2 linked regions of the Mus musculus genome follow. The protein of the gene in region 1 purifies or fractionates together with the protein of each later gene. This does not show direct contact. Links are inferred from orthologs where the notes say so. Each region holds a gene or a part of one and is shown on either strand. Other genes may lie near its edges.

Evidence for each region. The genes of interacting proteins can lie anywhere in the genome.
Region 2: the proteins of Kat7 (region 1) and Brpf3 purify together in Homo sapiens (affinity purification with mass spectrometry; 3 studies listed by BioGRID and IntAct, counting the BioPlex papers as one, with this or other methods). This does not show direct contact. The link is inferred for Mus musculus from reciprocal best matches to the Homo sapiens genes KAT7 and BRPF3.

What each region holds. Positions count from the first base shown.
Region 1 is NC_000077.6:95,303,747-95,307,246, forward strand, and holds part of Kat7 (histone acetyltransferase KAT7), read right to left. Parts: intron 2,451-3,500; coding exon 2,303-2,450; intron 1-2,302. UniProt on the Homo sapiens protein: Catalytic subunit of histone acetyltransferase HBO1 complexes, which specifically mediate acetylation of histone H3 at 'Lys-14' (H3K14ac), thereby regulating various processes, such as gene transcription, protein ubiquitination, immune regulation, stem cell pluripotent and self-renewal maintenance and embryonic development.
Region 2 is NC_000083.6:28,799,968-28,803,925, forward strand, and holds the start of Brpf3 (bromodomain and PHD finger-containing protein 3), read left to right. Parts: upstream 1-1,158; 5' UTR 1,159-1,394; intron 1,395-1,633; exon of another isoform or gene 1,634-1,862; intron 1,863-2,090; exon of another isoform or gene 2,091-2,466; intron 2,467-2,923; exon of another isoform or gene 2,924-3,363; intron 3,364-3,906; exon of another isoform or gene 3,907-3,958. UniProt on the Homo sapiens protein: Scaffold subunit of various histone acetyltransferase (HAT) complexes, such as the MOZ/MORF and HBO1 complexes, which have a histone H3 acetyltransferase activity.

The DNA of each region.
Region 1 (3,500 bases):
AATCTGAGTGTAGCCCTGGAACTCGCCTTGTAGACCAGGTTGGCCTCAAACTCAGTGATCCACCCACCTGTCTGCTGAGCTGCTAGGACTAAAGGCGTGTGTGCCTTACCCCCAGTGGGAAAAGAGTTCTTTACCAATATTAGCGACATGCCTGTTTCTTCCCTTGCTATATATAGCCCATCATAATACAGATGTCCTAAAACTATATTTGGGAGGAGGTTGCTTGTTCTTTGACTACCCTTGTACTCATACGGAGTTACCGACGGTGGGGTGAGCCGCCATGTGGGTGCTGGGAGTCAAACCCAGGTTCTCTGCAAAAACAACTAAGTGCTCTTAACTACTGAGCCATCTCTCCAGCCCCTTAAGTTCTTCCCATAGAGAACCCTCTTCTAAAGCTTTCAGAGACCTTTCACATCTCTAGTCTGATGCCTCTTAAAGGAAATAAAATAAAAGCTAAAACTGAAGAGTATTTTAAATGACAACCTATGACAATGTCTAAGTTGAAATTGTCAAACTGTCAGGAGAGGTAAGTTGGTATGCAGGCAGGGTCCAAAGACTATATAGTTTTAGGGTATCTTTATATCTTTTCACAAGTCTGTCTATACTTCACACTAGGAAACCCTGTGACTGATGCTCCCAAAGATCGTGTAGCTTTGTGGCCATGAAATAAAATAACTACAGAGACCCCCCCCCCAGCTCTGTTTTGAATATCCATCACCTTTAGGGCATAGCTAACTGCAGTGTCTAAGAACCATTATGACTCTTTGTATATATGATTCCTTCTGCCCCAAAATATTTTGCTCATCTTCAATATGCAAAGTCCTACTGGACTCCTCCAGACTGTTCTAGGAGACCTTCTCACAGAATGTGGTTGCTCCACCCCTGGGCTTCCAAAGGTTTTGTTTTTGTTTTTTTGTTTTTTCAAGAGGGTTTCTCTGTGTAGCCCTGGCTGTCCTTGAACTCAAAAATCCGCCTGCCTCTGGAATTAAAGGCGTGCGCCACCATGCCCGGCTGACCAAAGGATTTGTTAACAAATCATTTTATTTATTTGTATGTGTACAGACATGTATACATACATATACATACATACATATATATATATACATACATACATACATACATAAAACACGCACACACAGTTACTTTTTTGGTTATTTTTTGTTGAAAGCCAGAGTCTCAGTATCTCTGGCTAGCCTCGAACACTCTATATAGACGGGGCTGGCCTTGAATTCAGAGATCTGCGGGCCTCTGCTTCCAAAGTGCTGGGACTAAAGGTGTGCAACACCACACCCGACGCCATATTATAATTTCCCATTTACTCTATTGTTGCAGACTGATAACCACCTTTGTATATTAGCTGAAAAACCTTTCTTCCATGCTGAATAAAACTAGGAGGGGAAAAGCCTACTTCTACATAAGCCCAAGTGACTAAATACATTAGAGAGCCTTCCAAGTACTTCTAACCACAAGCCTTTTGTTTATTTCACTACCAAAGCAACATTCTGAATATTTATTCAAAGTTATTCTATCAAATGTGACTCTATATTCTAGAATTAAAAGTACCTTTAGAAGCATTAAATCTCACTGACACACTCAATAAGCAATTTAACTCTTAAGCCATTTTATAGTGATGAGATAACATTCCCATTTTATCGTTTTACGATGACCTATAACGAACGCCATACAGTCTTCAAGACACCTGCATCTCACATTTATATAAGCCACTGCCTATAAAAGAACATCTGACAGAAACCACTTTGAAGACCGAGTATTTCAGCAGCTGCCTTACACTTTGACCATTCTACCACCTATACCAATGGTTTTCAACCTGTGGGTCTCAACCCCTTTGTAGGTAGGGTATTAAATGATCCTTTCACAGGGGCCAAATGTCAGGTATCCTGCGTATCAGATATTTACAGTATGATGCATAACCTTAGTAAAGCTATGGTTATGAAGTAACAACGATTATTTAATGGGGGGCTGGAGAGACAGCTGCTCTTCCAGAGGTCTCAGCACCCACATGGTGGCTCATAACCATCGATAATGAGATCTAGCGCCCTCTTCTGGCCTGCAGGCACACACACAGACAGGTGCTGTACGCACAATAAATCTTTAAAAAATAATAATTTAAAGGAGGGGGGTCACGAAAACATGAAGAATTGTACTAAAGGGTCGCAGTGTTAGGAGGGCTGAGAACCACTGCTCTCCATCAAGCTCAGGAGCAGTATCCCTATGAACCAGCACAACAGAATGACACCACTGTCCACTGTGAAGAAGTCAGGGGAAAGGAAAACATGTTTACCTTGGGAACTCTGGCTTAGCCTGGCTGAGGAGCGGGTGACTCGGGCAGATCGGCGCGAGGTGCCATCACTCTCTGAACTGTCTGTATGCTCGAGATCTGTAGAAAAATCGGAATCTTCGGTTCCATCTGAACTACTGCCTGCATTTCTCTGCAATACCATAGATCCAGACATTAGCACAAAAGCATTTACTACAGTTTTCTATTAGCACTGGAAGTAAAATGAACCATGATGCTGAAGTACCAAGTTCCAACATAAGGAAGGACTCCACCACCAGCCAGCCTTTCCCCTCCCTGCTGTGCAGAGGCGCTGCCCTTCCTTTCAGACATGCTAGTGGAATGACCTACAACCAAACCACCTGTACTCAGCAGACCGAGAAGAGAAGTAATTCTTCGTGTATTATCACTAATTCTGAAACAATCTGGACTGAATCACTAGAAATTGGAAATAAAAGCACCCAACCCAACAACAAAACACCCAAATCAAAATGGTCTGGCTAGTCAAGAAAAAAATAAAAAGGACAAACGAAAGAAAAAGCACAGTCCAGTGGCTGACAGCACAGGCCGCTCCGGCAAAGGACCCTAGTTCATTTGCCAGCACTTGCCCACTTGGTAGTTCACAACTGAAGTCTGTAACTCCCGCTCCAGAGGGAGCCAAATACCTCCAGCCTCCGCAGGCACCTGTTCTCACACATCCCTACACACATCCAGATAATTAAAATAGTACAACTAAACCTTAAAAAAAAAAAAGGAAAAGAAAAAGTCCAAGATGGCATATAAAATGTTATTGCTAGGCCTCACTGAACTTTGGGGTAAATTTTATTCAAATTCTCCATCAACAAAAATTATATTATATATTATAATATAATAAAAATTATATTAGCTGGGCATGGTGGTGTATGCCATTAATCCTAGGAGTAAGAAGATCTCTGTGAGTCCAGGGCAGCCTGGTCTACATAACAGAGTTCCAGGACAGCCAGAGCTACAGAGAAACCCTGACCGGGGTCATTTCAAAGTATGTTCTTGGGGCTGGAGAGATGGTTTGGTGGTTAAGAGCATTTGCTGCTCTTCCAGAGGACCTGGGTTCAATTCCCAACATCCATGGCAGCTTACAACTACCTGGAGCTCCAGTTCTAGGAGCTCTTTTTTTTTTTTTTAAGATTTATTTATTATTATATGTAAGTACACTGTAGCTGTCTTC
Region 2 (3,958 bases), on another chromosome or scaffold:
TGTAGTACCCAGGTCCTGGATACCAGAGCCAATCGAGCAATTGAAAGTCTCACCAGCCGTTCGTGTAGAGGAAACGCTTTCAAAATATATCATTCATCTTCATCTTCGATAGCAGTTTATCCATATATCCTTTATAAGCATCATTAAGTATTGGTGCTTAAGATCTCTGTCACGAGGTAAGCTTTCAAATTTATAGGTACATGCGCTCGTGGAGGGGCAAAGGGACCTTTTCTTCTATTTATTTTTTCTTTTATTAGAACAAAAGGCAGCTTGAGTACACTTCAAAGTCTGGGAGTTGCTGTTTGACAGGCAGGCTGCCTTTGAGAAAGCCGTTCAGTGCATTAAATTAACCGACTCCTGGCCAAATCAAATTCAAGGGGAAAAGTATTTCCCATGCCTAGAGTGACAAACGGAATTACGAGGCACGCTTAAGCAGACTGTCAAACTTTTATGTTTACTTAAAAAAAAAAAAACTCCACACAGATGGAAAAGTCTGGTCCGTGGCAGCCTTGTGTGCCAGGAGAGGCTCACCTGTACACACACCACAGGCACGGGTCTTTCCCGGGCTGTCCGCACTGGGGGAGGGGATGGGTGGACATCGCTAGACCTTTGTCCCGGGGGCCTGGGGAGGGACGACTTTCTGGAGGCTTCGCAGCCACCTGCACTCTGGGAAGCCACACACAGTGTGGCCCTCCGGGGTCGTCCTGGGGCGAGCTTTGTGGGTGGGTGGGAGCATGGGCGTTCCCACCTCGGGGGCGGCGGGTGGCCCCACGCTCTGGCTGGGATGGGGTGAGCCACCGCTCCGTGGATTCAGAGTGGGAACCCCGACTAGATCAGCTCTGGGACAGGCCCAGGGTGAAGCGGCCCCGCCGCGTCCGCACCGCCACCGTGAGGCCGTGCCGGGGACGGTGCCCCGTGGAGGTGGCGCTGCCGCTTCGCGCTCATCTCCCCGCCCGTCTCCCCGCCGCCGCTGCCGCCGCGCCGGGCTGGGCTCGGGCGGGGGCATCCGCTCCGGTCTCCCCGCGCTTTCGCGCTCCCGCTTCGCGTGCGGCGGCTCGATCCGGGGAGGGAGTGAGGGAAGGGGTGGAGGTGGCGGGGGGAGGCCGAGGGGCGGATCCTGCCTGGGGGCTGATCCCTCCCTCCCCTCGGCCGGGCTCCGTGGCGGGCGGCAGCGGTGGTGGCGGCGGTGGCTCCATTCCCCCTCCTCCCCCGGGAGAGGCGGCCGGGCCCGGGGAGACGGAGCGGAGGGCCGGAGCGGGAGGAGGCCGCGCTCCCTCAGCCGGGCCGCGCACGGAGCTGCTCGCTCGCCCGGCCCGCTCGCCCGGCCGCTCACCCGGCCGGCCGCGCTCGCGCTCAGGGGGCCCCCGAAGCTAGGGGCCCGGCCGGCGGCTGAGGTAAAATGGGGGCGGCGGCGGCGGGGCCGGAGCGAGCGGGGGCGGCGGGGGCCGGCGGGGAGCGAGCGCTGCGCGCGAGGGGGCGGCCGGGGCGCACAGGGGTGTCCCGATGGGGCGTGGGGGTGACGCGCGACCTCTCCCCCGGAGCGAGGGCGGCGACGAGGCCGGGAAAAGCGCGCGGAAGGGAGCTGCAAAGCGAGGACCCCCTCCCGCACCCGCCATCTTGTTTCTCCCCGGTCCTGGCAGCCAAACGGCTAAGCCCCGCCCTCCCCGTGCTCCCCTATTGGCCTGGCTAGACCAGAGTCCCGCCTTCAGGGGCCGCCCTCGGCGCACGGGTTCCCCCTTGACGGGCAGGTTGGGCGGCCAATAAGTGCTTGCATCTCCGCGTCCTCCCCCCCCCTCCCCACCCCTCCGCCGTTCGCTGGCGCTCGCTTTCTCTGTGAGGGTCGGACTCTGCGTCTATCTGTGGTGCGCCTACCCTCTGGGTTGTTTTTTTTAGGGGGAGATATTTCTCTTTTTTCTCCTTCGGGGGGTGTCGTGAAGATTCCACTGGAAGAGGAGTCCCTTTAAAGGGACAGAGACCTTGTCTGGAGTCTTACCTGGTCTCATGAGTCCCTTGTGTGGCGTGCAGGGCGGGTTCCGTCCAATTGTTGAAACTCCTCATTCGGGGGCCAGGGTGAGGTGGTCGAGTTGGGGATCCCGGGTCGCTAAGAACGTCTCTGAAGGGGGCTGTTGGGGGTACTCGGCAGTGTGTGTATGGGAAGAGTTGTGTACGTGAGGAAACTCCCGCCAAAAAAAAAATACCAACCCTGGTCTAGTTGTTAGCTCCTTGTAGGCGAAACTCTTGGTTTCCCCTGGCAGTAGCCCAGCTGGGTCCCATGGGTTTGCCCCCTGTGATCGCATCGCGGGAGCCCCGAATGGGGATGGAGACGACTTCTGAGACTACAGGATGGGGTTCTTGTAGATTCTTCAAAATCGATACTGAAGTGTGTGTTTCCTCTCCAGAGGCTGCTTGCCTTTGGAGAATTGGGGAATGGAATCTGTTGGCTGGGACTACTTTTGAGACCTTGAGGTTGGTACGGGATCTCGTGCCCTCAGGGCTTCGGGTTGAACAGAAGTGCGGTAAAGGTCCTTTAGCTCCAAATGGTGGTGTATGCCTGCCTCAGGTTGCTCCACAGCCAGGTTAACTTAAGTCACACCTTGGGACTGAGAGGCCTTTACACTGTGGTTGTCAATGGTGACTTATTGATCATCCTTAAGAAGTAGATATTTCTGCCCTTGCTTTTATTACATTTTTATTTTTTTTAAATTTTATGTGCCTGGGCATGTTGCCTGATATATGCCGGGTTCCCCAAGAATTCAGAAGAGGGCTTCCAATACCCTGGAACTGGAGTTACTGGAGTTGTGATCCACAGTGTGGGTGCTAGGCATCCTCTTAAATGCTGTTATTTTTCCAGCATGCATATATATATATAATTATTATTATTAAACAATATGTGTATTGGTGTTTTGCCTAGGAATTGAACCTGGGTCCTCTGGAAGAACAGCCAGTGCTCTCAACTGTGCTGAGCCATCTCTCCTATGAACATTTTACATTTTTAGAGGGTCTCGCTATGTGCGTTGCTAGTCTGAAATACTATATAGATCTGCTTGGCCTCAAATTCCACAGAGAAGGCAGTACTTAAGAATAGCGCCTCTGCCTCCAGAGTACTGGGCTGGAAAGTGTGCTAGTACACCCCACCCCACACTGTTTTATTGATGCACTGTGGAGGCAGAGAAATTCAAAGCTTTGTCCAGGTTACACAGGAGCAGGATTAGAACCTAGGTTGGTGCAGAACATCCTCTCTCTAGAGCTCTCCGAGACTCTTGGTGTTTGTAGCCTCTCAGCTTGCTAGGAGATCTGGATTCACACATTTTTCTGAGCTTCTGTTTTCTCGTGGCTGAAATGGAGATGATGTCTGCACAGTCTCTTGAGGTAGTTGTGAGAAAGATTAAAAAGAAAAGGCCATTGTAGTTTGTTAAAGTATGCTGAGTATAGCCATCCTATCTTAGGTCTTCCTGGTGAGGATGGCCTTGGTAACTGCCTGCAGCTGCTCCTTAGGGGCAGAGAATGCTGGGGGAAGCACCCTGGGTAGATTAGATACAAGTATCAAGGGAGAGAGATTTCTGTGGTAATTGTAGGTGGAGAATTCGCCTCAGATAACCCCCCAATCAACTTGTCCTTGAGTTCAATGAAGACCTTAGACAGACTACTTAAAATTTAAAAGATTTCTTAGAGGCATTCCCAGCTTGCAAGGTTTGTGGTTGGAAATGCCCCAAGTAGTATTGCAGTTATCTTAAGTACTGCCTTCTGCCGGAAGTACCTAGCATATTATATTATTTATAGTCTGAAGCATTTCAGATGTCTTTACTTTGGACAGGGCCAAGAGATAGGGCTTCTAGCCATGAGATGTCTCTGGAGATGTTTTAGATCTGTGATTTTGTTTATTTATTTATTTATTTATTTATTTAGATAACAGGTTCTCACTCTGTATCCCTGCCTGGCCTGGAATTCACTCACTGAA